Lonchura striata: one gene and its partners. The protein of the gene in region 4 purifies or fractionates together with the protein of the main gene of each other region. This does not show direct contact. Links are inferred from orthologs where the notes say so. Each region holds a gene or a part of one and is shown on either strand. Other genes may lie near its edges.

Region 1 (7,711 bases), on a different chromosome or scaffold from region 4:
TTATCTCCCAAGCTCTAAGTGAAACGTACTTCCACATTCGCCTCTAACAGGAAAGGTTATGCAAAACCTTTTTTTCAAAATGCAGGCTAAGCCATTTGGCAGTATGTGGAATTGGAGGAAAAATACAGAAAACCAAACCACTGCAGTCATGGCATACCAGAAATCTTCTAAACACCGTCACATTTCCAAGCAAACTGACCAGGGACTAGTAGGTATCAGACCGCATCATTAGAGGTTGCACAGTGGAGCAATACAACACCCACCCATGATTCGGTTTCGGCCCCGTTCTCAGCACAGAGCCGGGGGTACCGGCACACCCCGAAGCTGAGCCGTGCCCAAGGGCGGGCAGCAAAGCCCGGCACTGGGCACGGCGGGCGCCCCGAGCCCGGCCATCCGCGCCGAACCAGGGCCGCGCCGTCCCGAGGCCGCACGCCAGCCCCGCCGGAGCCGGGCCGTGCCCAGCTACTGCCCCGGCTGACAATGCCAGGGAGCGGCCAGCCGGAGCTCGGCCCCCCTTCCCTGTCAGAGCGGCGGCACGGCTTGACAGCCCCGCTCCCTGCCCGCCGCAGCGCCCGGGACGGGGGCCGGCGGTCGGGCCCCCACGGAGCGGCAGCGGGGCTGCGCGTCCCCTCCGCACCCGGCGCGGCCGCTCCCGCCGGCGGCGCTGCGGCGGCCCCGCGCCGTCCCCGGGGAGCGCCTGTCAGAACGCGCGGCCGGGCCGCGCCGCGGCTCCCCGGGCCGGCGAGCGGGCAGGGCGGGGGAGCCTCACCCGCCGGCGGCGCCGCGGCCGCCGCGCCCCGCACCTCAGGGTGGGTCCCACGCAGGCCGTGTCGGTGCTCTCGATCTCCTGCAGGATCCGATCATGCTCGGGGAGACTGTCCGCCATCTTGGATGGGAGGGACCCGCCGGCCGCGCCGCTGCGGGAGACGCCGAGGGAGGAGCGGCGGCGGAGCCCGGCGGGGGCCGGCGGCAGCGGCCGGGGAGGGTTTGCCGGTGCGGGGGGCAGGGGCAGGTGGCGAGGCGCAGGTCGAGCCGGGCCGCGCCCTTCGGGTTTGCACCGGCTCGGCGGTGCTCCGCTGCCCTTGTCACGGCAGGGCTAGGCCGGGGGAGTCCGGCAAAGCCGCTCCGTCCCCGCGGCATCTCTGAGCGCTGGTGTCCGGCAGAGACCGCGGGCGGCTGCGCCCGCCGGGCCTCAGCCCCTGCGGCCCGCTCAGGGCTCTGTGGCAAACGAGGGACGCGCAAAGTGCGGCCCCTGTCCCGCACGGGCCGGCTGCCCGCCCACCGCACCGCGCTGCAGAGACGCCTTGAAGGCTTGTAGGGTTCAACACGACCTTTTCCACTGAGCTAGTTCTGGTTTGGTCTTGTGGCTAGTTCATGGTGTGGTCTTGTTTTTTTATTATTATTTGGTTTGTTTTGATTCGACCGCTCCCGCACGTGCGGGCTGTGCCCGTCCCGGCAGGGAGGAAGGCACCGAGCCCTGAGCTCTGCGGGGGTTTCTGCATTCACGTTATGTCAGTCTTCATTCCTTCCATTCTTTACGTGATAGAAACTTGGGGGTCGGGGTAAAAATAGAACAAAACCAAGACAAAAAAAAGTTTTGCACCTTTATATGCAGTGGCTTGCTGTTTGACTAGAAACTGACATAGTGTTTCCTAATGCCTTGTACAGCAAAGCGTCTTGTGTCAACGAAGGAGGAATAACCTATTTTCTATTTAAATTTTACACTTCGTGGCCTGTGGCCAGGGATTAATTAATTCTTGGGTTTTGCATGTTCAGGAGACAGGATGCACCTGCTTTCTGGGCAAAATGATCTGCACACAAGTGGGAAGTTCTTGTGAAGAAATAGGCCAGATATGTAAAACTTCAGGGTGATGTGTAGCTACATTTTCCAGTAAGGAACTGACAACATTTGACAAATGTGAATGCATCAAAGTCTACAATTGCATTTGGCATCCTTCCAGTTATTGTTATCAAGCCCATCATCTCTCCTGCCCTGGTGCAACTACACCTGTACACGAGTTAATAAATGGCACCGAAGACAGTGCACATCTTGTCTATGCTTGTGCCTATATCATATTCAGTGTTGATTCAGGTTGTTGATTCACCTACTAAATCAACAAGGACTATTCTGAATGTAGACAAGTGCTTACAAAGTGCATAATTAAAAAAAGGGAAAAATCCTACCACTTGTATTTCCTTCAAGAAATTACTCAAATGCTGTAACAGTTTTCCCACGTTTCTTCTTTTTTTTTTTCCCATCACCAAAATACTGAAGTTATAGATTGACACATTTTTCAGGGTATATTTAATTTTCTTTTTTTAGCCTGATCGTTAATGCAACCTGACGCCTACAGTGCTAGGCAGGCTATTTTTAAAACTCTTCTACAAATACTGACAATATACTGAGACAAATTACATTGCAATCTTATATATATTACTTTTTAAAGGAGAAATATGCAGAGGAATTTCTTCAGTTGCACTTTTACCATTAAACAGTTTCCGTAAGCTACAAATAAAAAAAAAAAAAAATCTTCAGCTATTTAGAAATATCAGCAGTAAAACCTTAAGTAGTTCTGTCTTTGGTGATTAAACAGAAGTTTCATTTATTAAAAATTTAAGAAGCACTTAATTCTTTAAAAATGTAGCTGTTAACTTTAAACTTAAAACACTGTTACGCAAAAAAGAAAATTTCACCTTGTTTTCATTTTTGAGAACACTTTCTTTTTTCACAAATCTGCAGCCAGCCATCAGAAACAGATCAATTTGTCCAGGTGAAAAGAAAGAGCAGAGTAGGTGACCTTGGTTTGTAGTTTTTCACTTAGGGCCAATCACATTGAAATTAAGCTCAACTTTCTGGTAGGCTTCAGGGTCAGGAAAACAAAGTTTCTAATATATTGTGCTGACTGAAAGAACAACTATAGAATGGAACACATCCATCATAAAGAGTATAATACTAAAAAAAGAAGCATACCTTAAGGTGGTTCCAAGAGGCAGCTCAAAGGACTGGATCTCAGCAAGGGCATTTTCATATATCTGATCTTTATTTTCTTCTAGATAAAATTCTGAGAGATTTGACTTACTTTTCCTTGCCATAGAGTAGGATAAAACTAATCTAACTTTAGGAGAGGACTTTTATTCTGATTATTATAGTTGACTAAGTGACCGTAGTCAGCAAAACCAAGCATAAAAAAAAAAGATCCTGTGCTAACCTCGTGACTCTTGAGGACTTTGTGTCCAAGAATGGTGCACAGCTGCTCTTTTCCTGTCTGCTGGTATCATTTGCCTCTTATGCACTACCCAGGGCTGCACAGTCTCTTTTGTGTGTGTGTGCCTAATACATATTAGTCTTAACAACAAAATTCCTGCCAAAATAATATTTTTGCATTCTTGAAATAAATATTAAACCTGAAATTTAGGCGTTTTGAAAACACAACTTTAAAGGAATTTTAGACACTAGACATCAATGCTTAATTACTCTGATAAGTTTTATGAGATTATTTTTTTTTTAATTAGGTTTTCCTTTTGCTATATAAAAAGCTTGCACACAAGGACTTAGCTGGATTTATGAAAAAGATTTATGGATCTCCTAAAGCAGATTAGAAAAACAGAAACATTTATGTTCTCATAATTTTCCTTTTCAGCATTAGTAGTTGCTATTTATAATAATAAATTGCAGAAAAAGCTTTGTGATAACTGTTGGGTTTATATGTGTGAGCAAAAAAAAAAGCTGTTACTAATTTATTACCTGCATGGAAAAAAATGGATAACAAATGTTGAGAGTAGTGCTGCTGTCACATCATTTTCATGATGATGGCAAAGAAAACACTTTGCACAACTGCCATGGATTACTTTAATTTCAAACATGAGACTGGAGTTCTAGATCTTTAAGTTTAAACAACTGTTTAGAAGCCTAATTCAATATCATTTGGATAATCAATATATTTTGTTTTTTATAAATATTTCAAAGGTTTTAATCAGAATTTGGCTCCTGATCTCAGTGCTGTCCTGACAGAATTGATTAATCCAGACACTCGTGGTGCAGTCAGCAGTTAAGTGCAAGGAAACAGAGCTTACTCACTTTTGAGCAGAGTGATAAACAGTTTATTCACTTCTCTGTGCCCAGTGGGAACAATGAGGAGATGGGTTCACATCAGTAGCAGTGGGAAGGAGCACTAAAGGTTGCAGTGAGTTAGGGCTACATACAGATTTGCAATGTTTTTCCTTGAACAAGCTGCTTTAACCACCGGTTTATTTTTGAACCAAAATTAAGCAATTGCTCTGTTAGCATTATTATGCAATACATTTCCTGCTTTCATGTTCTACGTGGAATTGTGAGTAATTTTTACACTTTTCACCAGAAATGAGAGCCTGCGATTGACCCATTCAGCCACTGGATGTCACACAAACGCAGATGAAGGGAATGATGTTGAAACTACTCATTCTAATCTTAACAGTCACCAGATTCAGAATTAATTTAACAATTATGAGGTGACACTGTGCAAGTAAACTGTAAATACTATAACAAGCTTAAGCTTATTCGTGTGATGGAAGAAAGTACATCTACTGCCACTGTGGAAGAGCAGAGGCAGGGCAGGTAAATCAGAGGTGCCTCAGACATCTACACCCAGCCAGCACACACTGTGGCTGGCAATCAAAATAGAACTCAGTGATGGAAGCATGACGATTTATACAAAATGCTTTTATGAATACGTGATTTTAAATTAGTTCAATTCTTACAGAGGCTTTGGGTGAAATTTCTTTTTCCTCCTCTTCCAAAAATTTAAACAGTAGCTTGCTTTAGGAAATCAGCTAACCAAAATAAACAGGACTCTGAATCTGTTGTGCAAATGTTCTTGTTGGTATCGCAGCTGCCTGGAAATAAATATGTTTAATAACAAAGCAAAACAATGTAAGAAGAAGCAAACAAATACAAAGGTGAATGACCAAGAAATAGGCAGATGTTAGAGTCTCTTCAGTTGTGGCAGAGGGTGTTGAAGTACCTTGGTTCTTTGGACAGGATCAGACCAAATTGCACCAGGCCTGGCTGCTCAGCTCTCCAGGGTGTTTTTCACCCCCACTGAACCTAAGACCATGACACCCAGAGGATGATCCAAGGTGCAGTGGTGGATCTGTATCTGACCTGAGATCATGGGCAGCAGTACATTAACACCTGCCAAAAGCCCTTTCTGCTGCAATGACCCTGCTTCTACCCTGTGCTGTCTGTCCAGCCTCTGCTCCCCTTCCCCACTTCTGTCATCTGCTCCTCCCCACCATAATTCCAGTGCTGATTAGATGTGCCCAGCATCTACATCTTTCAGTCACACAGGAGCTTTTCCTGTTTCCAGCTGAGCTCAGGGCCACTCTCAAAAGGTTTAGGGAACTGCCTTGTTCAAGGAAATAAAGTATTTTTTGTAAAAATACAAAGGGACAAATTCAGTATAGGCACTTGACATCCGCTTCTGGCAGAACAGTGTATCTTTGCTTCACAACTATACACAACATACTTGGAGGCTACAACTAAATAGTTTGTCACCAAAGACAATGCTAAGTAATTTTTTTCTCCATGCAGAAAAGGACAGTAGACATTATCATTTCTGAGGTATCATACTTGTACTTGTTCAGATTTAACCAAGTTAAGAAGCCTGAGAAGGTATTAATCTTCTAGAAGTTCCTGGCAGAAAAATAAGAAGGTATCTTCTGTGCTGGTTAAATTCACACTATTTCTGTGAAGGAAGTATTTCATTATCTGGATAGGCAGAAATCTCAGGCCCTGTAAGATGTAGAGCTGTTGCCATCTTTCCAATCATCCTGAGGTTTTCCTTTGAAAAAATGATCCAAAGCACCTATTTCATGCTGAAGGTGTAAAAACAGTTTGCAGCTCAGAAGAGAGCAAGAGGGGAAATTGAGGCAAATTATCAACAATATTGTGAAACAGGATGCAAAGGCTTGTCTAAAGCAAAACCACTTTCACCACGTCCTTTCTCCCCTTCCTCCCCTAATTCCTACTCTTCCCCAACCCTAATGAGATACCAGAGGGCCAAGAACTGCTGGTTTAAATCTTGCCTGCCTATGTTGATACTTTAAAAATACATTTTACCCACATGACCTTACAAAAAGTATAAAGTGCTGTAGAGTAGGGTCCTTACTGTGTATGCAATTCCAGTGTAGATTACTTCCTTTTTTTACAATTGCCAGTACACAATTAGCAGCTTTGAGTCTGTTTCATTTGCTTTCCCAGTTGGATTGGAATCCATTTTGAATGAATCATGGAAAAGAGAGAAGAGGGAAAATGTCCACCCTCAAATGGAATTACTATAGATAATTTTCACATGCAATGCCATCCATAACAAATTACTTCATTGGTCATTGCCCAGATATCTCCTCTTTACATCCCTCCACAAGGACAACAATGCCATTAGTCATTTCTCTGGCATCTCCTGCTCTGCTACTGCTTTCTTTCCTGGGCTCATCCCCAGACTGGATCCTTGCAAACCAGCTCTTTCTCCCTAGAAACTGAACTGCTCCCATTCCCGTTGTGCCTGGTTTTCTGGTGGCCAGACCCATTTCTGCCTCTCAGATGAAGCATGGTAGCAACAACCTTATCAAATGATTCTTGGGGAAAACAGGCAGATGAGGAGATGATGGAATTACCGCTGCCATTTTTTACCTTTTAACTTTTTGCCTAATATATAGTGAGTACATTAGGTATTAGCAGGGAGGTTACCTTTTTTCTTTCCAGAGCATTTAAGTGAATTATGTTTTCTGAATTGTAGTCAAAATCATAAATACATTGACTTTTTCGTTTTAATTATACTAGATTTATGAATTGGACAGTGTACGTAACAATCTTCACTAAAATACCAAATAAACAATGTTCTATTTCACATAGGGGCTTTTTATGGTAAATTGTAAGAACAGCACATATCTCTCCTGTTAGGTGTGCAGTGCATCACTAACTGCTTTTGACATTTCACTGACATCTTACAAGTGCCTAAAAATACTTGGAGAGATCCACAGCTGGTGCTGATGTTATCTTTTTAAGAGTCAATAAAGGCATCAAACCTACTGGTTGAACAGAAGCACTTCTGTCTGACTGCAGTGGAAAGGAGAGTCACTGTCATTGCATGTGTTTATATAATGCTAGAGATGCCATTGAAGAACAAGTACTATTTCATTTTCATTGCAACATACAAACCATATTTTTTTAGCATACCGTTTGAATGATGCTACAAAGTAGCATCTTTATCATTCTAGAAATGCATAAATGCATTCTACAAAACACTGATGCATCTTTTTCTCTCTGCTTACCAGTACTTTTAAGGAACAGGCATTGACTAAAACCCTGAGTCAAGGACATGCCCTGGGAGCCTGAGGGCTTTGCTTCTTTATAGGCAGTGAAGAGCTCTATTACAGATATTGCCCTGGAGGACATTACTTTCCTTGAACAGGAGGGCTTTTTTTTTTCACTACACTTTTAAGAGCATCCAGTCTTAGATAGCCACAGAGTTTATATTCCTTATGTAACCCAGGAAAACTTTCCTGAGGAAAACAGCCCCTGTTCTAGTCTGGGGTATGAACGAGTCAGAAATTAAAACTACCTGTATGTTAGGATGAGTGCATGATGGACATCTGACTGGTGATGGTCAAGTGATCCCAGCTTGATGAGCTGCTCTGTCAGCTGAGCCAGAGTGAGTGAAAGATACTGTGCCCA
Region 2 (8,011 bases), on a different chromosome or scaffold from region 4:
AATGAAACATTAGTAAGATGTACAATGTCAGTTTGCATTACTTTCAGGACACAGATTTTCTGGTTTGGACACAAAGTAAAAACTGAAGTCCCTGGTTTAATACTATCCATCTGGCTGAAATGCAGATTCAAAAAAAAAAAAAAAACAGAAAAAAAAAAAGTACACTCATGATACAGCACAGACACTCAGGTTTATCCAACTTTGTACCTTGAGTCGAGCTTCTACTGAAGCCTTCTTACGAGCTTCCCTTCTGCGATACTGTTCCACTTTATCCAGCTGATCAGGACGCTGAAGCATTCCTGCTACTCTCTGAACAGCTGTTGCAACTGCTTCCCTATCCGTTTCCTCCATGGCTGGTTAGGACCTCAGAATGCCTTCATTACTTAACAGGACTGAAAAGAAATAAAACATTTTTTAAAAACCCACCTTTTTTCATTTGATGGCTATGTGAAATTTCAAAGTTAACAACTGGAGAATTAACTTTGGTAATAAAAGCAGTGCAACTTGTCAGAAGCATCATTAAACTACATTCTAAAGAGAAGCAATTGGAATTCTACAAGAACTGCATTTAAAAATACTTAACTCAGTCTCATTAGTTCCCCTGCAGTGTTTTTGGTTGCTGTTTTTACATTTACTTTGATCTAGATTTGAATTAAAAATAAAAAAATACCACCAAAAAAACCCACCACCCCAAGACCACCAAATCTTCATGAAAAGAAGAGATTCTATTTAATCCAAGGGTAGGTTGGCCTATTAAAAGGGTAATAAGACAAGCATAATGAGATCTTGTAGAAAGTTCAAGCCGAAGTCCTAACTCATCCTGAACTACAATTGGGTGGACTTAAGAGAACCACAGCCCTCCTGAGCAATAGGTCAATTCTCCTACCAAAACTGGAGAGAAACATAAGCAGTGGAAGCTCCAAGCACAGAGACTTAATGATAGAGCACTTTCATTTAGGCTTCTGATAGGTAATTTTTTATTTTCTACTCTTGTTTTCAGTTCTCACAGTATCAGTCTAGTCCATCAGGGGTATAGGGAAAAATTATTCAAGTATTTCACCTCAGTCTCCAGCAGAATTTCTAGTGAAGTCAAGACTTGCAGGCAAACCAGTACGGGGAAGAGGTAACATCAAGGCACATCTGTTCTCTCAGACTTCATTAGCTACTAACAGAAAATAGGGAGGATCCCATCACCAAAGATGCAATACCATGGTGTCCAGAGACCTCAGAGGAATGTATCTGGAGCTCCTCATTGTTTCCAAATGATTTCCAATATTTTATGTCTTTAGCCTTGCAACCAAACAGAACATTTTAGGTCCTGCTGCCACAGCTAGAGATTATATTCTCTCATACCCATATTATTCCCTGAAATTCAATATCTGTTTTCAGAGCAGTCTGCATTCATAAACCCAGCACATCACTTAGTCTCAGCAGAATAGTGATCTAAAGAACCATGCAGAGTACGCTACAAAAACAAAGTGCTCTTTCTTTTTGCTGAAAGAGCAAAAGCAAGAAAACTCATGGGACAAGCAAAATTGATAAATGAAGGAAACATTGTGTGGGGGCACCCAAAAAACCCTAAGAAACAATCGAAGCAAAGAAAACTGCTCACAACACCTCACAGGCAAACTAACACTCCAGCCAGTCTCTGAATAATCACTACCCTGGAAACAAAACCCCCATAATATTTTATTGCTAAGTATGATATACAGTAGGGAATTTCCCTTTGGCCAGTTTGGGTCAGATGTCCCCACTGTGCCCTCTCAATCTCTGCCCACCCCCAGCCTACTTGAGGGGAGTGGAGGGCAGATGAGGAAAGAGAAAGCCTTCACACTGGTACAAGCCCCCTGCAGCCATAGCCAAACACCGCAGTGTGAGCAGCATTCCTTCTGCCACAAACCCAAAACACAGACTGTACGCACTGTTATAAAGAAAGTTAACTACATCCCAGCCAGACTCTGTAGAGCATTAGCAAAATTCCTAATTTTTTAATTTATCATGGCTAAAGAACATTCCAGGCAAGGCTTGCCCGTGAGCTCTGGAAGAGCCCAAGTCTATGTCTCAAGTTCTGTATCTCAAGTACCTTCAAGAATTACATACAAAAGTATGAACTTATTTCAGAGTTACTTCAACAGTGTAAACTCCTGTACTTCTTTACTACTGGCCTGGTTAAGTCAAACCATGTTTCATTTCTTACTCTTCATCTAAACATGCAAGATCTATTTCCACCACTTGTGCTTTGGAATGGATACTCCAGTTTCATTTGGCTCAATCCATTTCCAAGCTATAAGAGCTCTACCTAAAATTTAAAAAAATGATACTTTAAAAGTATGCATTTATTACAAAAATGGTATTCTGCAGCAGAGAGCTTTATCCTGAATTACTGCCCTTATTAAAAACTCTGAATACATCCCACAGAGTTACAACATCTTGAGTTCATACAGCCACTACCTAGGCACATCAAGGAGACCTCGTCAGCAGAATCAGAAGCCAGCACACTGTAACTAACACGCCGAGGCAGACAGGCTCTTGTAGAACCACCCAAAAGGAACAGCAAACTTTAGGAAGCCACGTCAATCTCTTACAGAAGCTGTGAGTCAAAACTACATACATCTCCAGCGCAAAATAGAGGCAGAAGTGAACAAAACTACGTCCCAAGCCGACTCAGGAAGGCTCCAGCTGCAATGGCACCCTTATCCTGGGGACTGCCGCTCCAGAGGCGAGCCAGCGGGGCTGACAGGCTCCCGGGGGAGGCCCTGCTCCCGCAGAGGAGCGCAGCGAGCCCTCCGAACAGAGCTCGGGGGAGGCAGCGGCGGCGGCCCCAGACCCGCCCGGCTCCTCCCTGGCAGCAGCGGCTCAGCTCCAATCACTCGCACCGACGCAGGTGCCCGTCCGTGCCGGGCAAAGGCCGGAGACCTGTCCGCGGGCACGCCGAGCTCCTTCGCCCTCCGCCGCGGCCCCGGGACAGGACCAACCTTCAGCACCCGCTATGCCCCCAAAACCCCGGGGGGCTCCCCGGATCGCCCCGGCCCATCCCGCCCCCCACCCCCTCGGCTTCCCACTGCCACACCGCGGTCCCTACCACCCGCGACAGCCCGGCAGGGGCTCACCGGCCGACAGCGGCGGGGACAGGGCGGGACGCGCGGCCGCCACTTACCGGGGCCGCGGCCGCCCCTGCTCGGGAGGCGCTGACAGCCCCCGGTGCGCCGGCGCACGCCCGGCCGCGCACGCGCACCGCGCTGCCGGCGCCGCCGCCTCCTCCCCCTCCTCTTCCTTTTTTTTTTTTTTTTTTTAAATATAATTTTAGTGTCAAGGGGCGCAGTGTGTGCTACGGGGGCCTGGTTCAAAGTTTTTGAAAAAAACAAACAAACAAACAAAAAAAGCCAGTAAAAACTTCACGACTCCTGTGAGGTGTTAGAGCTTTGGGTTGGGGTGGTCGCCTGCTGCAGTGGGTGTCGTCTGGGGGAAAGAAAGGAAGCACACGGAGTGATTTCTTCACGGGATGAGTTGTTAAGGGTTGGAAAGGGCTGCCAGAGGGAGCTGGTGGAGTCACCGTCCCTGGAGGTGTTCAGGAAATGAGTGGATGTGGCTCCGTGCCATGGGCTGCCTGACACGGCGGTGTTGGGTCAGCCTGGGTGGACTCGGTGACCTCAGAGGTCTTTTCCATCCTGATTCTGTGATTCCGTAATGAAAATGGATAAGCCGGCCAAGCTGCACTTGACGCGGCGCCTTCAGATCCGTGCGGAAGCTGCTTTTCGCGGCAGAGGAGAAGGGGAGCCCCTCGCTCAGCCCGCGGTGCCCCCTCACGCCTCGCCCAGAGCCCAGGGCGCTGCCGAGCCAGCGAGGGCTGTGAGAGAAAACTACGGTGCTTTTCAAAAGACAGGTAGTTAAGAAATGGGCACCGGCTTGCTGAATCCAGTGGGAAATGGGGACAGGCGAGCTGCCTGGTGGGGGCTGGGTTGCTCGCTGGGTTTTGTGTAGGGGTTGCCATAGCAGCTGCCAGCAGCTCCAAGTGCCCAGGGGAGACCGCAGGCGTGAAAACCTGCTTGGGATTCAGCAGATGCCGCAGCCGGAGCTCGGTGCCCGGCGCTTCGCAGCGGGACCTGCAGGAGCTTCGGAAGGAGCTTAACCTGTCCCCCAGGTGTGAGTTCCCACCTGCGGCAGTCTGATTGGACAGAAAGTATAGTTGTGCAGTTAGAAATACAAGTTTTGGTAACCTGCATAAAGTTTTGGCACTCTTAAAGAAGATTTTATAATTTCGACAACTGCTTAGATCTTCTCTTTTTAAATCACCGACTGAAAGTAGAGGTTTTTTTCCCCCCTTCCTTGCTAGTCTATCCCTGACGGTGGAACAGGGATAAAAATACTGAAGGTGGCTTTATTACAATGTTACACTGTATAGTCATTTTCTGTATTGTTGATTTAGGTTGATTTTTCTGGAGTGCTGCAGATGGAGGAGACTGTAGGAGGTGAAACTGATGGTCACTCTGCACAGCAGGAGTCAGAGCAACTGAGAGCAACGAAACTTTCTTCGAAACCTCATATTGATCTCTGTCCACCTCTCATTGCCATAAAAAAAGGTAAGGGGAAAAAATAATAAGTACTTCATGTCAGCTTTTCATGGGAAAAAAAAATCAGGAAGAAAATGAGGAACCAATTATTAAGTAGTGTTTAGTTTTATATATACTTCGTGGGTATGTGCTATTCTGAATCTGCCACTGTAGGGACCATGTGTGCTGAATGTGCAGTTTTCAGCTTTATAAATAAATATGTACATATAAATAAATAAATAAATAAATGTATGCATGTATGAATCCACAGTGCAAGTCTGATACCATAGCAGATTTCATAGTGTTGAATGTAGTTGTAGTTGAATGTAGTGTTGAATGTTGAATGTAACACGATTCAAACAATTTTTTAAAATGAAAATGACCAGTACTCCATAAGATTTTGCAATATCACACATAATATGGTATCTCTTTTCTGGAATATTTTAACAGTGGTAATAGATTAAATTAGTTAGTTCAAAGGTTATTGGACATAACCATCTACCTCTGTGTCTAAGGGAGCATCTTTACCTATGTTCACTTTGCTTATGTATTCGCTGACCTTGTGGAAGGGGATCATGTTAGATAGTACTGAATAAATAAATATTCATGGCAACTGGGAGAGGGGTGTGAAGTCTGGAGGAAAGCTAGAAAGGCAAGAAGGAGAACAAAAGGCTAGTTGGCCTCACCTCAGTCCCTGGGAACGTGGTGGAGCGGCTAATCCTGGATACCATTTATAGGCACATGAAGAACAAGAAGGTGACTAGGAGTAATCAGCATGCATTTAGCAAGGGAATAAATGTGAACAACCTAATTTCCTTTTGAAATTAAATTATTGGTTTGATAGGTGAGGGGAGTGCAGTGTCTATGGTTTGCCTTTTCTTCAGTAAGGCTTTTGACATTCTTCTGTTGAGAATTTTTTATTGTTCCCCTTGAAGTGAGTTATACACACATTTGTCCTGAAATATATTTAAAAAATAGTAAACAATGCATTGGACAGTCTTAAAACCATGACTGATTCTACAGGAAATCTGCAAAGATGCTTCTTGAAGCAATTTCTTGTATACACTTGCACCAGCACCAGTCCTGTGAGCATCAGCATGGAGCACCTCAGCACAGCCTTGGATCCATCCCCCAGCACCAGCTCTGCTGCCCAAACATAGAATTCTGAGCTAGGCATTACAGGATAGCTACAAGAAAAAGCTGTGGCTGTTTCTTATCACCAAGGGAAACAATACTCCCTTACAAGGATTGTTCTGCCTCTGGTATTCCTTCCTGCTTCCAGCTAGCTTAACCCCTTCTGCAGTTGGACCTTCTTGCTCTCTATGCCAGATTGTTTCTGGGTTACAAAGTACCACTCATGAGCAGTTGCAATTTAAATTTCCCCTTTGCTTCTGAAATATCCTCATAGAGAAGCCATGGAAGTGTGGGCTGTCTGAGCAGAAAGTGAGATGGATTGAAAACATTGCACAGACAAGCTCAGAGGGTAGTGATCAGCAGCACAAAGTCTGGCTGGAGCCCAGAAGGTAGCAGTGTACTCCAGGGGACAGTATGGGGTCCAGTTCTGTTCAACATCTTCATTAATGATCTGGATGGTGGAGCAGAGGGTACCCACAGCAAGGTTGCTGACAGCACATAAAAGGGAGGATTGGCCAATAAATCAGAGGGTTGTGCTGCCATCCAGAGGAGCTTAGAGAGGCTGGAGAAAATTGCTGCACCTAGGGATAAACCAGTCCATGCAACAATACTAGTTGAGGGCTGAACAGCTGGAAAACAGATTGGCAGGAAAGAACCTGCAATTCCTGGTGGGCAGCAAGTTGAACATGAGCCAAGAATGGCTCTTGTGGCAAAGGAGGCTGATGATACTGTGGGGTGGATAAGGAGTATTAAGAGAGCAGATTAAGAGGGATGATCCATGATCTCCATTCAGCAGTGGTGAGGCCTCACCTGCAGTAAGCTTGCTTTAGGCTTCTGAGTACAAGAGAGACATGGTTTTACTAGAGAGTCCAGTGAAGGGCCATGAAAATTATGAAGGTAGCAGAGCACCTCTCCTGTGAGGAAAGGGTAACAGCTGGGTCTGAATGGGATCTTCTCTATGGATGTAAATGCCTGAAGGGACTGTGTAAAGAAGAGGTATAAAGAAGATGGAGTCAAACTCTTCTCCAAGGTGTCCAGTAATAGGACCAGGGGCAATAAATGGTGGAAACTGAAACACAGAAAGTTCTATCTGAACATCAGGAAACACTGTGAGGGTGACTGAGCACTGGTGCAGATTGCCCAGGGAGCTTATAGAGTCTCCATCCTTGGAGATACTCAAAAGCCATACAGAAACTGTCCTGGACAACTAGCTTCAGCAGTATCCCTTCCAATCTCAACCATTCTGTGATTCTGTATATTATACATATTAATCAGTAAAAAAGATATACAATTTGATGCAAAATTTATATGGAAATCAGTGCTATTAGAATTTGAGTTTTAGTCACAATCTTTTAAGTTATATAAAATAGATTAAACAGTAATTCATGGAAGTTTGGTGAGCCACTCATAAGCATTACTGCATGCTCCACTGGGGATCCTATTTGCTGCCAATGATGGGATGTAAATATCATATTTTGAGTAATAAATTGGTCTCATTTTCTCCAGTATGAGAAAAAGTTAGCTAGCAAATATGAAGATACAACACTGCAGGTCTTGTAAATGCATTTGTTGTACTTGAATAATTAGAACTTGTAATTTCTTTTAACTAGACACAGAAAGCAAAAATCATAGACATGGGGACAACCTGAGGACAAGAAGCACTGAGCTAGGATCTGCTGTCACAGGATCATCTCTGACTACTGTTCTTCCGGCAAGTGTTTTTTCTAAAACAGGTGGTGGGTTATTTAAGTACCTTTTGTCTGCTAAATGTTCTTGTATATAGATTTTTCTTTAGGTCTTCACTGACAAAAGCTTGTCTAATATTGAAGCATGCTGAGTTCCTTCAGTCTCTGTTAATTGCAAGGAAAAAGAAACAGTGAACCACTAAAAAGTTTCTACAGTGTTAGGGCACTGACTTTCTGTGCTCATAATATGTGTTGCTGGGATTTTGGGTTCTTTGATGTATTTTTTTTATCATCCACTGGTTAATATCCTTTCTTTACAATGATGAAAATTAATGTTAAGAATATTTGAATAAGGTCATACTGCATCAGGGGAGGCATATGCAAAATAAGAGATCCAGTTGTTAACATGGAAACCAGAGATGATAAAAGACTGACAAAGATGAATTGGGAAATACATGGTGAATGACAATTAGCTTTTAGAGATTTCAAAAGGGTACTGACCAACTACAGGTATTCAGACATTGCCGCTGTCTCCTGATCTCTAAGAGGAGCACGTAGAGAAAAGAGTGGGTGGAAAATATCCATTCAGAGTCTGTGTTAAGACCAAATGGTGGGAAGCAAAGGTGCAAGTTGGCCAGCTTT
Region 3 (7,654 bases), on a different chromosome or scaffold from region 4:
TACCACACCCTGGGAATGCTTCAGCACTTACCCTCCTACCAGAACACTGCCTTAAAAAAGAACTGCTACAGTGACATGATGAGAATTGATCTTTTCCTGCCATCTGCTGTATATGTATGTAAGACTTTCACAAACAATTGGCCAAAATTTGTGTATTACAGTTATTTCCCACGTCACAAATACTACACAAGCCCTTCATAGAGGATATGCTGTCAAGGACATGTGACCTCCACCTTCTCACTTCCCTACACCCCATCCAACAAGTAAAGCATTGCATGCTTGCAGGCATTGATTCAAAGTCTTCAGCTTCTGGAATGCAGCAGATAAGAGTTCTGCATCTTTCAGGGACTCAAAAAACCCCTGTTTAGTTCATCTGTTCAATGTACAACAATCTTCAGTAAGTGCTGCCACCTTGTTCTGAGGAACAGTTAGGTTCACTTCACACCACAGAGGTGGTACTTTCCGGATTTACACGCATCAATCTTGAGGCATTTCTCAGATCCTGTAGCTGCTTGGCTGGCTTTCCAACTCCTTCCTCAAACCTTTTTTCCACAACAGGAAGGACAGTTTCATACAGGAAAGAGGCATTCTGCCTAATGAATGCTTTTTTCTCCGGGTCCTGTTCACACCGTAAACTGTAATCGACATGCTGGACAGCCACCAGGATGATTTCCACCAGACTCTCCAGGAGAACCATATGCAGCTCTGGGAAGTAAAGCTTTAACGCTTCCTCCAAGAAGGCCATAGTCTGCTTAGTGAAAGCTACTACAGTGTAACTGAGGTTGACCCAGCAGTCATCCCCCGTGTATTGGTCAAAATTGCCCACCCCACAGCTCCTCATCTCCTCCCTGAGCTTCCCCAGTGCCTCTGGAGTCATCAGGTTCATCCTTCTCCACATCTCCTCAGAGTTGCGGTGCTTGGTGGCCTCGATGATGATATCCTTGTAGCTCTGCAAAGCACCTTTGATATCCTTTACCAGAAGGGCGTGAATAATGAAGGTGAGATCCAGTCCAATCTCGCTCAGCTGCTTGCAGTGCTCTTTAGCCACCTGGGATAACAAAGAAAAGCAAAGGATGTTATTAGTGTGCAGGCTCCCTTTTCACCTTACACATTTATCAAATTCATCTCAGAAAACTGAGATGGGTTACTCATACTTGTTTATCGTGCTTTAAGAATCTCATTAATGAGAAATTAATAACTGAAAGATACACCCTGGCTGTCAAAAAAACTCTGGACAATTACACTATGTAACCCACATGCACAAACTTTTTTTCCCCCCCTCCCAATCAGCAGCCAAAAGAAAGCATAACCTGAGAAAGTTAGTCTTGCAAAAAAAGTATGAAAATGTACCTAAAGACAGCCTTGGAGAACAAAGAGAAAGTTTTGAAGTACTTATAATTCAGGTGTAGTTCATGTAAATTTTAGGACCTCCTACTAGTTACAGGTAAATTAAGAATTAACACATTTTGCATTCCTGATAAAGGCAGGGTTTTCCTTGGCCTGTATTATAACCTTAAGGATTTCCTCTGTTAAACTGAAAAAAAACCAAACAAACCTCGAATGAATATTAATCTTTCAACTCAGGAAATCTTTCTGGAGACCCACACAAGAGTCAACAACCAAACCAGAGTTAGAGACGAGACTTTAAAGCTTTGAAGCCTTTGTTTCAGCTGCTGTGCCCCACCACCCAACTCTTTGGACTCTCTTACCTTGACACACTCTGCCGCAGTTGACAAACTCTCCTTGCTATCAAACACTTGCTTACTGAAGGCGTCTACAAACATCCTCATGGACGAGCGGGCCCAGACAACAAACGCCGAGTAGCAGCCGTTGTTGCCGGCGAAGTCCGTCTCAAACTCCCTGGCCGTCTCCAGCAGGCTGGTGAAGAAGACGTGGCAGAGCTTGTGGATGTAGAGCAGCGTGGCGCCCTCGATGCGCAGCTGCCGGATGGCGGTCTGCACCGCGGCCGCCCGGTTCTTCAGGAACAGCTCGCACGCCTTGGTGGACTGGCCCAGGCGAATGAGCTGGGACACGGCCCGGCGGGTGGCCCGCGGCCCTCCGCGCAGCGAGCGGTCCGGGGACAGCTCGAACACCAGCACGTCCGTCAGCTGCCGGACGCGCTCATCCACCTTGGCCCGCAGCTCCTTCACGGGCTGGCTCGCAGGCTTGTCCGCCAGGTACTCGTTCAGCTTATCCAACAGGTCAACCGCCCCCTCGAAGTCCCGCTGGGCAATGCAGACGTCCAGGTCCTCGGGCAGCTCTTGGATCCACTCAAGTGAGAGGTCAACAACCTCCTCCTCGGCGGAGGGCTCATCCTCCTCCTCCTCGTCCTCGTCGAAGGGGTTGGTGGACTCGGGGGGCGCGGGCGCGGGCCGGGGCAGAGCCTCCTGCTCCAGGCGCCGCTTCTCGCTGAGGGCGCGGCTGCGCTTGGTCTCCTCCAGCACCTCCAGCCACTCCTTCTTGATCTTGGCGTTCTCAGCCTGGAAGATGCGGCTCTCGGGGAACATGAGCAGTTTGAACATGTCCTTCATAGGCGGGTTGTCCTTGACGTTGACCACGGCCAGCCCGTCGAGGGGGTACAGGGCGTCGTAGCGGTAGGCGCCGCGGCGGCTGGGCAGGGCGGTGGCCACGAGCAGGCAGTCGTTCATCAGGAAGGCGTGCACCCGCTGGATCTGCGCCATGTGGTCCGCGTCGTACTCCACCAGGTCGCCGTTGTACACCAGGTACTTGCCAGGGCTCTCGGGCAGGAGGTCGCGGCAGCCCTCCACCTTCTCCAGGAGGGTGGTGAGAGTGCGCTGCCGCCCCTCCTCGCTGGCCGCCGCCTCCTTGGCCGACAGCGGCAGGAAGGGGTCGGCGGCGGCGGCGCGGCGGGCGCCCAGCGCGGGGTCGTCGCGGTCGGCTTGGAGGAGCAGGGCCTGGGTGACGGCCTCCATGATGCCCTTCTGCTCGGTGAGGATGTGGCTGAGCTGGTACATCTCGCTCTCCAGGTAGCTGATCTCCCGCGCCGTCTCGATGAACTGCCGGTAGTTTTGGTAGACATTGCGCTTCAGGCTCTGCGCCGTCTCCTCGCTCAGCGCCTGGATGCGCTGCCGGTGCTCCTGCAGGTCCCGGTCCCCGTCCGACTGCTGCGACAGCTGCTTCACGTACTCCCCCGCCGCGAAGCCGCCCGACTCCAGCTGCCGCCGCAGCCGGCTCCCGCCGCCGCCCTCGCCCAGCGACAGCGCCATGTCCGCCCGGTACCCGCCCGGCGACACCCGCCGCGCCTGCGCCCCGCGGCCGGAGCGACTGCCTGCGGTGACGGGATGGGGCCGCGCCGGCGGAGGCGGAGCGGAGCAAGCGAGGAGAAGGGAAGGAAGGGAAGGGAAGCGGCGCAGGGATGTGCCGGCCCGCGCACTCGGAAGGACGCGGCGGCGGCGCCCGCGGGGCGGTGCTGCGCGTGCGTCGCGGCCGCTGCGCGTTCCGGTTGCGCTCTGTGCCGGCCGACGGAGCCGCGCTCGGGATGGAGGACGAGGATTTCCTGTTGGCCCTCAGGCTGCAGAGGGACTGGGAAGAGCAGGACGAGGCAGCGGCGGCGGCAGCAAAGCGCCCTGATGTCTCTCCGTACGGCTCATCCCTCCGCCCGCTGTCGGTGGTGGACGAGGCGTGGGAGCTGCTGGACCCCAGCCCGGACGTGCACGGCCTGTTCGTGCACTTCAACCAGACGCTCTTCTGGGGCAAGCTGGAGGCTGTCACGGTGTCCTGGAGCCCCCGCATGACCAGGTGCGGCAGGGGGATGTGGGCCGAGCTGCCGGGGCTGGGCTGTCCCGGGCCGGTCCGTGTGTCCGGGAGCTGCCGCCGTGCCGCCGCCGCCGGCGTGCGCGGTGTCGGCAGGAGCTGTCGCTTGTCTGTGCTGCTCCTCGCCGTGCCCCGCTAGCGCCCTGCTGGTGCCGTGGCTTCTCTTCCCGGGCACTCGGATGTTCCGCAGCGCCGGCAGAGCCCGGACGGCGGGACGTGAGTTGGTCGCCGTCATTGTCTCCCTTGCCTTGCATCTGTCGTCCGTGGCAGCCACCAATGGCTTTCCACGGGATGCAGGCAAGCTGGAGGGATGTTAAATGGAAGAAATTACTTGGTCTTAGATGATGTGTATGGAAGCCTCACATGCTCGTGTTGCTGCTCTGGTTCTCAGTTTTTATGATAGTTTTACTGCACAGCAGAAGGACAAATATGAACCAATAATAGTATATTAGAAAAATTTAGAATGGGCTAGGAAGGGGAACATAGAAGAAATCTGAGGTTAAACAAACCTAGAAATCTTTAAAGTGCAGGCTGCAGTTCTGCAGCAGATGCAGTTGCTAGCAGCTGGAAGTCCCACCACCTCGTATCCTCTGCTGGCTGCGGTATTCTTTAGACATTTGGAAACAGTTGGATGTTGCACCGATTGAGGGCTAACTCAGTAGGACTAACACAAACAAAAAAAAGTCGTGTTTGCTGGATTAGTGCACAGAAGTGGAGGTATATGTAGGTTCAGTATGAGCCAAAAGTTGATGAAGGGTGGGGAGTAAAATTGAAACAACTGCCAATTAAGTCTGCATTTGCTGCCGTGAATCTCCAGCCTCTGTGCAGTGTATTTTAGTTCATCACAAGTTCTAAAGGAAACATTCTTCTACCTTAAAAACCAGGTTTTTCTACTATAAGGAACTTGTGGATATTTTCTTTCTTTGCTTAATGATGCTGAATTTTTCAGGTAACTACTCAAAGTGATTTTATTCCATGTTCTGAGTGACCTAGCATGTGTTTACAGGGGATGGCATTCTGACTTAAATTCTCTGTTTTCTTCATGTGCTACAATGAAGAAAGAAACAAATACATTTTTGTATTTTCTTTCTTCTTTCCTTTCAGCTCTGCTGGTATCTGTTCATATCACAAAAGTAGTGGGTTGTGTTCCATTCGTCTCAGTGAGCCGCTTCTAAAGTTACGGCCGAGGAAGGATCTTGTGGAGGTATTCGAACATGGCTTATGAATCTGCACGTGAAGTGTTTTGTGCACACCCGCCACTTCATACAAACATTTTAGATTTCATAGTGGGATTCTGTTATGCAGTAACTTATAGGTCATAAAATAGCACTGGCTTTACTGTTACATTCATGTGGCTTGTGTTGCAGTACCATGGTAATCTTTAGTTTTATGTTTCTAAGTGGGCAACTCCCAGTAGAAGTCTTAAGTCACTTGTTTATTTTATTGACTTTATATAGAGAAAATAACACCCCAGGCTTTTAACTCCAAAATTATCCTTTAATATTCAAACCAAACATGGACTATAGTTTTGAAAGGGCCAACAGCAGAAAATAAGGATATAGGTTATGACTTAACATGACATTTTATTGCTTTTGGGCCTCTGCCAGAGTTGCTGCTTGGAGCTGGCTGAACATTCAGATTTGCCTAACAACAGAAATGCTGTAGAATTTCAGCTTGCTCAAAATGGCTCTTTTTGGGGGCTGTGTAGGGGATGATGTCTTTAAAGATCCAATTTAAATTTGAGGATTATATCTCCTTTTTGGAATGCTGCTTATGGAAGTGATATTATGCAGTGTGTTTTAGTGATGTGGGAATAGGGGTAATTTGGTTTGATAGATCAAAGTATTATGTTTTTATGACCCAGACTGAGTATGTGAATAATCAAAGATAAGATCAGTAACCACAATCAATGTAGAAGAGTACAATACTTGCAGCTTAATAATGAAACTGAAAATGCAATGCTTTTCATTGAATATCTAATGGTTGCATCATTTCAGACGCTGTTGCACGAAATGATCCACGCCCTGCTCTTTGTTACTCATAACTACAAAGATCGTGAGTCCCATGGACCTGAGTTCTGCAAGCACATGCGTCGTATTAATCTCCTGACTGGAGCCAATGTCACAGTAAGAATAATCCTCTTCACCTTCTTTAATAGAGCTTTCTTCCTGATTTGCTGTTTTGGTTGACTGGTGCATATTAAGTAATGTTCTTATTAGACACTCCACAGTTGGTACCAATACAAATTTGCATCCAAGTGTATGCTAGTTCCATAGTTATTTGTTGGGGATGGTGGTGGAAAGAGGTTGAGGAAGATGTGGTGAGCTGTTAGTCATGTAATTTTCAGGTATGTTCTCTGTAAGAATTTTTCTTTAAGCTTTTGTGGTAAATTAGAAAGAGCTTAAATGGTAGCAGGGACAGAAGTGCTCCATGTGAAGAGCAGTCAAGATTTATGTCAATAGAGGGTCAATATTTCTGTCAATATTTAAAAATAATGCATCTAATAAGATCAATTAAGGTAATAACTGAAAGGAGAATACAATACTGGTATTGTTTGAAATGCTTTCTAAACAGTACATCTTCTATGTGAAATTGTAGATAGATTTCCAAAATTATCTTTTTGCAGTTCCAACAAGATAACCAGGACATATTCCTACGCTTCCTATCTTTTTTTTAAAGCATTGTTGATAAATTTTTACTCAGATCTAGCTCTTAACTGCTAATATAAAAATCACAGCAGTAGTGGAAGGAATTGAATGGAAACAGATTTTTTTAAAAAACATTTTAGAGCTAGTGATATAAAATTTGTAACTTCCTGAGTGACTGTTCTTTTGTGGATTTTGTTTGTTTGTTTGTTTTTCTAAATGTAGATCTATCACGATTTTTATGATGAGATTAATGTGTACCGCCAGCACTGGTGGCGGTGCAATGGCCCCTGCCAAAACAGAGCGCCTTACTTTGGATATGTGAAGCGCTCAATGAACAGAGCACCCTCTGCACATGACTTCTGGTGGGATGAACATCAAAGGACGTGTGGGGGCACGTTCACAAAAGTGAAAGAGCCAGAGAAATTCTCGGAGAAGTCCAAGCAGAAAACTCAGGCAGCAAAACCTCCACATTTCAAGTCAACTAATGAAGGTATTTTATGATTTTTTTTTTCTTTTCTGAACTGATTTTTGTCCAGAAGTTTTCTTGAACAAATATGGACCAAACACTACATAAGCTTGGTTTTGATGTTACTGTTATGTAGCCAAAGAACAGGGCCTTTTGTTTTTGCACTTCTAGGCTGCTCCTCAACTGTATTGTCTACAAAATGTTTAGTTTGACGCATTATTTTCAAGCAGCAGATTTTTTTGTGTGAAGCACTTCAAATAATAAGCCCATGACTTTTTAATGAAAATATTAATTTATTTTTTAATCTGATTTTGCAGGCAAGACACAAATGCATGGTAATTGCAAAGACTTGACTCCTTTTAGTGGAACGGGACATCGGCTTGGAGGAGGAGACGGTGTACTTTCAGAGAAAAACACAAATGCCATCAGCTCCACTGCAAACAGTGAAGCACATGGCTCATTGCATCATTCAGCAGTAAGGACATCACCAATCCCTAAAAACAAGATAAAACTGGAAAAATTACCCCATGGCAGTATCTTTCTGCTTCATACCAAAGGTGCTGGTGAGAAGAGCAGCTTAGCTTTAAAGAGTGAGTTTCCAAAACTCTCTGCTGCTCACCCAGAAGATGATGAGAACGACTGTGGATTGCCTGCTAGGATGGCTCGTGCTGCCGAAGAAACATCAAGCCAAGGCTCACCAGTTGGCAAGAGGGCTATGCCATCTTCTAACTGGTCACCAAAACGAATTTGTTTGGAGCAGACCCCA
Region 4 (8,224 bases):
AGGCAAATGATAGAGTTTTCAAAGTTAGAATAATGAGAATTATTTTCGCCAATTTCTAGCTAAGTATAAGCATGTTCAGTGCACTACCGAAAGACACATTAGTACTTAGAGCTACATTTACTATGGGGTGGAGTCTTGATTGCTTGGAACAGCTCACAAAATGTAACAGCTGGACTTGTGTTAGCAGTATACTATGGTAGAAACAGAGGATAAGTGGCAGCTGTGTTGAACAGAAGCTGAAGAGAACAATGTTAATGATAAGAAGCATGGTGTCACCATCGCTGACACCCAGTGTCAGTCAGCTAAGTTAGCTGGCTGTTCATCCCATAGTGAATAAAAAAATGCCGACCCAAAGTAAGCTCCATTCAGAGAAGCTTCTGGTCAGAATGTCCTGCAGGAGAAAATTCTTTTTCCTTTGGTAGCCAAGAGAGACCAGGAAGGCAGGCTGTGGGCTAAAGCAGGTATGGACCTGGAGCTGAGATATCAGCTGCCAGTAGATCACAGGCTGGTTCATATCCTTGCTCATCTCTAACATGGGATATCTGTGCAAGGGTACTCTGCTGTACTTGTGGCTTGGACTTTGTCTTTCATGTGAACTCCCACCTTTGAAAACATTTGTGTAAATGTACTTTGAATTCAAAATTGAAATAATATCAAATAAGTGAGAATATATTTGAAAACCTGTAAAAATTACAGCTTTCTACTTTTTAAATGTTATCCTATTGTGTTTATATAGAAAAGCCCATACCTTTTATTAGTTAATATTCAGAAGTTAGATATTTATTCTAGGCATATATTGCAAATTACGTTGGTTCTAACACAGGTCTTAGTAATTATTACTGTACAGTAAGACAGCTGTGAGGGCAGTTTATGGGTAACAGAAATCCTCTGGCATTTGTAAGGTCTTAAATTTGCCACCGAAATACTGTTAGAAAGAAGAAATGTAATTTTAGTGTTTGTTTGCATAATACAGTTGTTCTTTGGAGAATGTCTTTGGGATAATCCAGTGTAAGTGGGCATGCTGTGACATTTGATTATTAGCTACAAGAAGTATTTGCCCAACATCCAGGTTCCACAAAACCATCTTATATAGGAAGTAGAATTCATGCTACTGCTATCTATGATACATTGTCTTGTTTGAATTGTGTGTTGATTGTTGAGGTCACAATGTTTTCCACAATATTTACAAATTCTTTCCTTAATAGGCACAAGGAAATGTTTTCTGGCTGGAAAAGCTTTCATCATTCAACTTGTAATTGTTAGAACTCTAAAAATGCGCACTTCAGAGCATTCCTTTGAAATAAAGTACATGTATACTGAATTCTTGCCCAGTAATTGTGTGTATCATTTTAGAAAATAATGATAGCTAAAAAGCTAATATAATGTTCAACCATATTCAATGGACTCCCATTGGTAGTTTATACATTTTTATTCTTGTGTGATATAAACATGTCATGAACTATATTGAAAGACACAAACCTGCATTTTCTGTGGAAGAATATGGAATTAAAATATCTGGCATCTCTTCTTTCTGATAATGTAGTATTTCAGACATTCTTAATTGAGTAGTCAGACTGAACAAAAAAAAATGGGAAAACCAGGGACATTGTCCATGTAAATTATTTCAGTTACTATAAAACGGAAGAGTTTAAAAGATCTTTGTGGACTGAATCTAGGGGCTCCTTACTTTCACACAGTTCTCTCTAAGATGCCAGTTACCAAGACTCTGTAATTGCCTGATGTGCTATGGGAAGTCTGAGGGACACTATCACTTTGTGGTGAGCATAGCGTGGCTGCACCACAGGACACAGAGAATATGCTAAATAATGAATGGAAAAGATCTAACAGGCTAAACAGCCCATCTTTCAGTTAATGCAAAATTATTTCCTACATCACATTTCCTGACCTTAGGTAAATGGAATGTAGTTGGAAAAAAGTATCTGGGGATTAATCTAGTTCTCCTGGAAGAATTCTCCAAAACTGACAAGGAACAAACTGAGGGGAGTAAAGGATTATAGGAATGAATCTGTAGCATTCCTATAAACGGTTTCAACTACATGATTAGAATGAATATGTGAGGTTGAGGATATAATGCAGATTTTCTTCAGAAGACATTCTTCAGAAGCAATTAGCCAACTCTGTTCCAGACAGAAGAAAATACATGGCAGCCTGAAAATGAAGATGAGTGATCATAAGCAGACAGAAATTCATGCTCACATAACAGGCAGAAAGGGAACAGAGGCTGTCATAGAAGACAGGTGATTTTTTAAAGGTATTTATCTTAAAAACATCGGAATTAAGACTACGGGGAAACCTATGACAATAGATTTTATTTAAATTTTATTTATTGAGAGCAGAAATACTCCTCTCCTTTGAATTTATTTTTCATGGTTAGCTAATATTTTCTTGCATCCTCAATTAAGGAAATGCAGATCAGTGTGGAATTTAAAAAAAAAAAATGGCAGTGAAAGAGAACAGGGAGCATGTTCTAGACTGTGCCTTCTAGGTTACTTCTCATACTTCTTCTCCTTTGTGTTTTGGAGTCATACCTATAATAACATACTTCTTTCCAACACAAGCCTATATTGCTTTCCCTGCCAGCTACCTATTTCCCAATGCTTTCAGTCACTTTCAGCATAGAAATCTTTTTTCTAGTAAAGTGAGTGATTGTATTCCATAATTTTTAATATGTAATTTAAGAATATATTTTCATGACTTAAAGTCAGTATTGAAAGATCAAACACCCTTTCTAAAGAGCATTTGTGGAAGAGCATCTAAAGTAGGAGGGGAGAGGATGGCACAGGGTAGATAATCTCATATCAGTTTTTATGTGTAAACCCATTTTAGCAGTAAAAAGGGCATTTTAGTGTGGTTTCCTTTTTCTTTTAGCATAATTAAAGCTAAAAGTTAGGAAACTAGCATTCTCCCTAATAACAACAGCTTTATGGAACATTGTCCAGTATTTTATGGCTGCCTTGTCCAGTCTTTATAAATCTAGACAGACATACACATTTTGTGGCTGAATTGAGAAATTATCAAACTATAACTTCTATTTTAACCATGGCCCTCGTGAATGATATATTATAGAATCATACAGCATGTTGTTTTGTAAGTGAGAAAACAAAAGTACATTCAGCAAGACTTAATTGGTCAGTCATATTTAATCACAGAATATTCTGGGAAGCGACATGCAAGGATTATCAAATCCAGCTCTTAAGTGAATTGCCCATATGGGGCTCAAACCCACGGTGTTGGTGATGTTAACACCATGCTGTAATCAACTGAGCTCATCTCAATTAATGCTCCTGATCAAGTAGAAATATGATACAGGAATTACAGAAACACAGTTCTACATGTTAGAAATCCACATACTGGAAATTTAAAACAATTCCTTGGAAAGGATGTTTTCTGTTTATTGGTGGTGGCCTTGCAAATACATTTTATCAGATACACACTAAAATTAATAAATTATATACAATTTAAGTAATCTGGAATGATTTCAGTCTATCCTTAACTCTGCACTCCATTACATTAACAATGCTAAAAATTAGGTAAGTGTATTGATCATGTGGTGAACCTCTGTCACAGTGAAGGTAGTTCCAGTTTCCACAGAATTCATCAATGACTACAAGTAGCTATAACCAATTTGGACATCAGTTCTCATGCTAAATCCTAAATCTAGTCTCAGCATAATTTTCCTATTTGGATTATCACTGACATCAAAGACTGCCAATTAGTCCAGATTCTTCTACCTAGGAGCAAAGCAAAAATCTGACTGCTGTCCACAGATTATGAATATGAACTGAACATGAGCCAGTGAGTGCCCAGGCCAATGGCACCCTGGCCTGTGTCAGCAATAGTGTGGCCAGCAGGACCAGGGCAGGGGTTATCCCCCTGTGCTCAGCACTGGTGAGGCCTCATCTCCAGTACTGTGTTCAGTTTTGGGCCCCTCACTTTCAAACAGAAATTGAGGTGCTGGAGTGAAGGGCTGCAAGGCTAATGAGTGGTCCAGAAAACATGTCCTGTGAGGAACAGCTGAGGGAGCTGGGTTTGTTCAGCCTGGAGAAGGCTCAGGAGGGACCTCCCTGCTCTCTACAGCTCCCTGAAAGGAGGCTGTAGTGGGGAGGGCTTTGGGCTCTCCTGCTGTGCCTGCAGTGAGAGGACAACAGGAGACGGCCTAAAGCTCAGACAGAGGAGATTCAGATTAGATATTAGAATTTCTTTTTCACTGTTAGTATTGTCAGACATTGGAATAAGTTGCCTGGATGGTGGAGTCACTCTCCCTGGAGGTGGTCTAAAAGTGTCTGGATCTAGTACTGGGTGATAAGGTTTAATGCCTCAGGGGTTGCAGTGATAGTGCTGGGTGGATGGTTAGACTTGATGATCTTAAGGGTCTCTCCGACCTTGCTGATTCTATGAAGTGACCTTAGTCCTGATGCTGTGGCCAAATGGAATTACAGCATGCAGTCTGAGCTGGACACTGTAATTCAAAATTGTAATGCACTGTATGTTCTTTAAGTACCAAGTTTATCTGCATTTCTTCTGTGGACCCATTTGTCCCCTAACGGACCAAAACCCCCTCAGTCCTCTGCCGTGACGTCACTGGAGAATGCTGACGTCACTTTGGGGGCGGCAGCTCTGCCCCGCGCCCGCCGCGCCCACTCCTCCCCGCCAGGGGGCGCTGCGCGGGCAGCCCGCCCCGAGCCGCGCGCCGCCGTCACGAGGGCGGAAGCTGCGGCGGGAGCGCCGCGTCCTGCCCGGCGCTTCCCGGCCTGGCCCGGCGCTTCCCGGCCTGGCCCGGCGCTTCCCGGCCTGGCACGGCGCTTCCCGGCGCTTCCCGGTGCCGCGGTGAGAGCGAGGCGGCCCCGGCACCCTCCGGCTCTTCCCCCGTCCAGGCGTGGGGCTGGCGCGGTGCTCCGCGGGCCGGCTCGGCCGTGGCCGTGCCTCCGGCTTCGGGGCGGGGCCGCTTGTGCGGGACTCGCAGGTGGGAGGCGGTGAGGCGGTGTCAGACGGGCCCTCGGGAGCCCGCCGCTGCTCTAGGTAGCTCTTCTGAGGTTTTTCTGTCCATTTGTTGATCTTGTGATTGAGTTCCGGCGATGCTGTGGTTGGGCTGCGTTCTGTTGTGGTGTGTTCTGAGCCGGTGGGATGCGGGAGCAGCGTCTTTTCCTGTTTGCGCCCTCAGAGAGGCCAGGCAGTGCTGAGCAGCTTTACCACGCTGCCATGCCCCGTCTGGCGTGTATTTCCTGGACAAGCCGCGGCTGGGATGTCATGTCTCGAACAAATTTCATGTAGCCTTTGTTTGGCTCATTACAGGAAATGTTTATTTCCAGCTTCTTAGGCTGAATTCTGTGTTCCTTTGAGGCAGCAGGATTCAAGTGTGAAAAGCTTAATTTTGTGCTTGGTCCTGGCACACTGTGAATGTTTTGGTGGCTGTGACTAAAAGAACTGAGTTTTTAATTCAGAAGTTGAACTGTTTATGAGAGCCAGTCTTGGATCTTGGATTTATCATGATGTGGGAAAGGTGTACTCTGCCTAACCTGCAGTACTTGTGATAGCACTGAAATAGGAGAGTTAGCAATTTGTAGTAGCTTGATTGTGACTTAGAGCAGAAAATAAAATCCTAAATAAGGAAGGAAAGAGGCATCTGAATTTGAAATATAGCAGATTATTGGTATTTTGTGTGTTCATCTTATGCATCTGTTGAAGAGTAACACGAATGGTGACCTGGTACAATTGGGGAAACAAAAGGTGGGCCCAGCATTTGATGAAGAGAAGGAAAATTATTAGCAGCTATGGAGTGGTACATTGCCATAGGGTGTCATTTAAACAGCATGCCCTGAGCGCTGTTGACAATACTGTTTTCACTTTGGCATCGTGGCCTTGTTTTCACAAAGTTCTTAACTTTCTAATCTTCAAAATTGCTGTAGTGCCCAAGATTTTGTCTTTTCTATGGGTTTATCAGAGGAAACAACTCGGGCATCTTCAAGAGAACAACCCAACCTGAAATTCAACTCTATATATTGTCTCAGCATCCAGCAGTGTAGTATGTTGTGTGTACTAATCATGCTTTTTTAAAATGAACTGTAGAATTTTAAGGCACAGATAATATTGAATCTTCTGTATTTGAATAAAAACGCTTGAATGTGATGTGTAATGTGTTTCTCTGTTCAGTCTAGATAAAATCTCTAGTGTGAGGCACTGTTCTTAATCAAGTAAATATTGCTAATTCCTTAATTTTCTGGAGCTTGGAGAGGGGTTTTTGGTTTTGTTTTGTTTGTTGTTTTTTGGGCTTATGTGATTGAATTCTACAAGCTTGAGTATTGGATGGTCTTTTTTTCCTTGGTTCCAGTTTCAACTTTATTGAATGCCTAGTATTTCCCTCTACTACAAAGAAGCTTTTTGTACTCCATTAATTTAAGCTCAAGAATTATCCAGGTATTAATAAATTACAGTTTTCTAATTGAAACAAGTAAGGTTTTTGTTTTTTTTTTTTTCCTAAAGTGGTCTGGTCTTCTACCCAAGTCATGCCTGTCTAGATTACAAGTCATTAAGTTATCTATAAAATTGGATTTTAAAATCCTGTGGTTACTGTAAGTACATGACAGGTTCTTTTCTCGTGCGTCTGGTAAATATGCTTGAGTTTATTTTTTACCTCCTAAAATCTTTCAGCTGAGAGAAAATGACTGCAATCAAGCATGCTTTGCAGAGGGATATTTTCACTCCCAATGATGAACGTTTATTGAGCATTGTGAATGTGTGCAAAGCAGGCAAAAAGAAGAGGAACTGCTTTTTGTGTGCCACAGGTATATATGAATACCACACTATATTTCTTATCTTCACCTTTGTTTTTTCTTGGTTGCATTTGTTTTAGCTTTATGTACAATTCTTATTCTTGACTTGTATAAAACAGGTGCTTTCCATTCCTAATGGAGAAAATTATTTATAACTTGTACTTTCATTATTGCTTCTACTAAAAAAAGAAGCAAACCCCACTACTTTTATTCACTGATCTCATTGTAATTTGAAAGGAAAGAATGAAATAGTATTCTCTAGGGACTGGTGGGCTTTTGAAACAAGCTTTATGTAGTGCTTAAAACAGGGTTTAGTAATAATCTAAGCTGATAAGCCTAAATAAAATGCTTTAAAGAATACTGGTTAGAGACCAAGGAAAGGCACAGCAACTGCATTGAGTTCTAATGTTCCTTGAAGTGTATGTTTATTACATTTTATCTCTTTAAAAAACTAGGTGCTTTGTGTTGATCTGTCAATAAATTAGCTTGCTAGAATATTTTTTGACTGAAAAATGTCTGAAAATGTTTTCATTCTGACTGTACTCTCCAGTTATGTCTGTGCTATGTCAGTTATGTGGTCATGGTCCAAGATCTGCTGCATCAAAGAAATAGCTGAAAATTGGGGTCATTACCTCACAAGCTGTATAGAGAAGTATACCTGTTTGGTTGAGACTTAAACTGAGTTGCGGTTATTGTGGATGAAAAGGTTTCAAAATGTTTCTTTTCATCAGATAAATGCTAACAAATCTCCCCCACAGATAATTTGTTTGGGAAGTTGAAGTACAGCAGACACAGATGTGAAAGTAGTATGTGTGTTTTGAAATGACTCTCTTACTTCATTTAATAGTGACAACAGAACGACCAGTGCAAGTGAACGTGGTAAAAGTGAAAAAATCTGACAAGGGAGATTTTTACAAAAGGCAGACTGCATGGGCACTTCGAGACCTTGCTGTTGTTGATGCCAAAGATGCTGTTAAAGTATGTGGCACTTTTTTGTTTAGTCCTCTGCTCCCATGATCTTCTTCATTCCAAGTTAGACCTAACTTCCTTGTTACTGGCTACTTTAAAAATTAGATTGATAACAGGTTAATTAAGATGATACATTCCTGTGCTGCCTGTGCCTGTGTTTTCTTTCAGCCTTTGCAAGACTATAACCCTGGTAAATTGAGTAAGAGTAGTCTAGATACACTTGAATAGCAGTAGTCTCAATATCTGCCCTGTTAGTTGTAGTGATCTTGCAGTGACTGTAGAGAGCATCTGCTAAGGACTAGTAGTACTTTTTCGTTGTTAGTCTTATGTAAAGTCTTACCCAAGCTTCATTTCCAGTAAGAAAATTTATGACTGTTATACTAATGACAGTCAAAAATTTGTTAAAATATCGAAAATGTTTTGCTACATGTCATATTTTTTTTCTGGGACACTTAAAACATTCT

The links.
Region 1: the proteins of EXOC1 (region 4) and EXOC6 purify together in Homo sapiens (affinity purification with mass spectrometry; 4 studies listed by BioGRID and IntAct, counting the BioPlex papers as one, with this or other methods). This does not show direct contact. The link is inferred for Lonchura striata from reciprocal best matches to the Homo sapiens genes EXOC1 and EXOC6.
Region 2: the proteins of EXOC1 (region 4) and EXOC3 purify together in Homo sapiens (affinity purification with mass spectrometry; 5 studies listed by BioGRID and IntAct, counting the BioPlex papers as one, with this or other methods). This does not show direct contact. The link is inferred for Lonchura striata from reciprocal best matches to the Homo sapiens genes EXOC1 and EXOC3.
Region 3: the proteins of EXOC1 (region 4) and EXOC8 purify together in Homo sapiens (affinity purification with mass spectrometry; 3 studies listed by BioGRID and IntAct, counting the BioPlex papers as one, with this or other methods). This does not show direct contact. The link is inferred for Lonchura striata from reciprocal best matches to the Homo sapiens genes EXOC1 and EXOC8.

The regions. Positions count from the first base shown.
Region 1 is NC_134609.1:17,132,680-17,140,390, forward strand, and holds the start of EXOC6 (exocyst complex component 6), read right to left. Parts: upstream 3,158-7,711; 5' UTR 3,094-3,157; coding exon 2,972-3,093; intron 943-2,971; exon of another isoform or gene 887-942; coding exon of another isoform or gene 804-886; intron 1-803. UniProt on the Homo sapiens protein: Component of the exocyst complex involved in the docking of exocytic vesicles with fusion sites on the plasma membrane.
Region 2 is NC_134603.1:61,285,704-61,293,714, forward strand, and holds the start of EXOC3 (exocyst complex component 3), read right to left. Parts: upstream 3,230-8,011; 5' UTR 3,158-3,229; exon of another isoform or gene 3,111-3,157; intron 1,166-3,110; exon of another isoform or gene 1,163-1,165; 5' UTR 1,061-1,162; intron 393-1,060; 5' UTR 352-392; coding exon 208-351; intron 1-207. Other genes in the region: dynein axonemal heavy chain 5, read left to right, coding at 4,451-4,580, 7,295-7,395. UniProt on the Homo sapiens protein: Component of the exocyst complex involved in the docking of exocytic vesicles with fusion sites on the plasma membrane.
Region 3 is NC_134605.1:43,611,394-43,619,047, forward strand, and holds the start of EXOC8 (exocyst complex component 8), read right to left. Parts: upstream 3,253-7,654; 5' UTR 3,228-3,252; coding exon 1,710-3,227; intron 1,049-1,709; coding exon 440-1,048; 3' UTR 1-439. Other genes in the region: DNA-dependent metalloprotease SPRTN, read left to right, coding at 3,500-3,759, 4,879-4,978, 5,772-5,900, 6,645-6,912, 7,206-7,654. UniProt on the Homo sapiens protein: Component of the exocyst complex involved in the docking of exocytic vesicles with fusion sites on the plasma membrane.
Region 4 is NC_134606.1:27,480,287-27,488,510, forward strand, and holds the start of EXOC1 (exocyst complex component 1), read left to right. Parts: upstream 1-4,735; 5' UTR 4,736-4,848; intron 4,849-4,881; exon of another isoform or gene 4,882-5,040; intron 5,041-6,669; 5' UTR 6,670-6,679; coding exon 6,680-6,803; intron 6,804-7,638; coding exon 7,639-7,769; intron 7,770-8,224.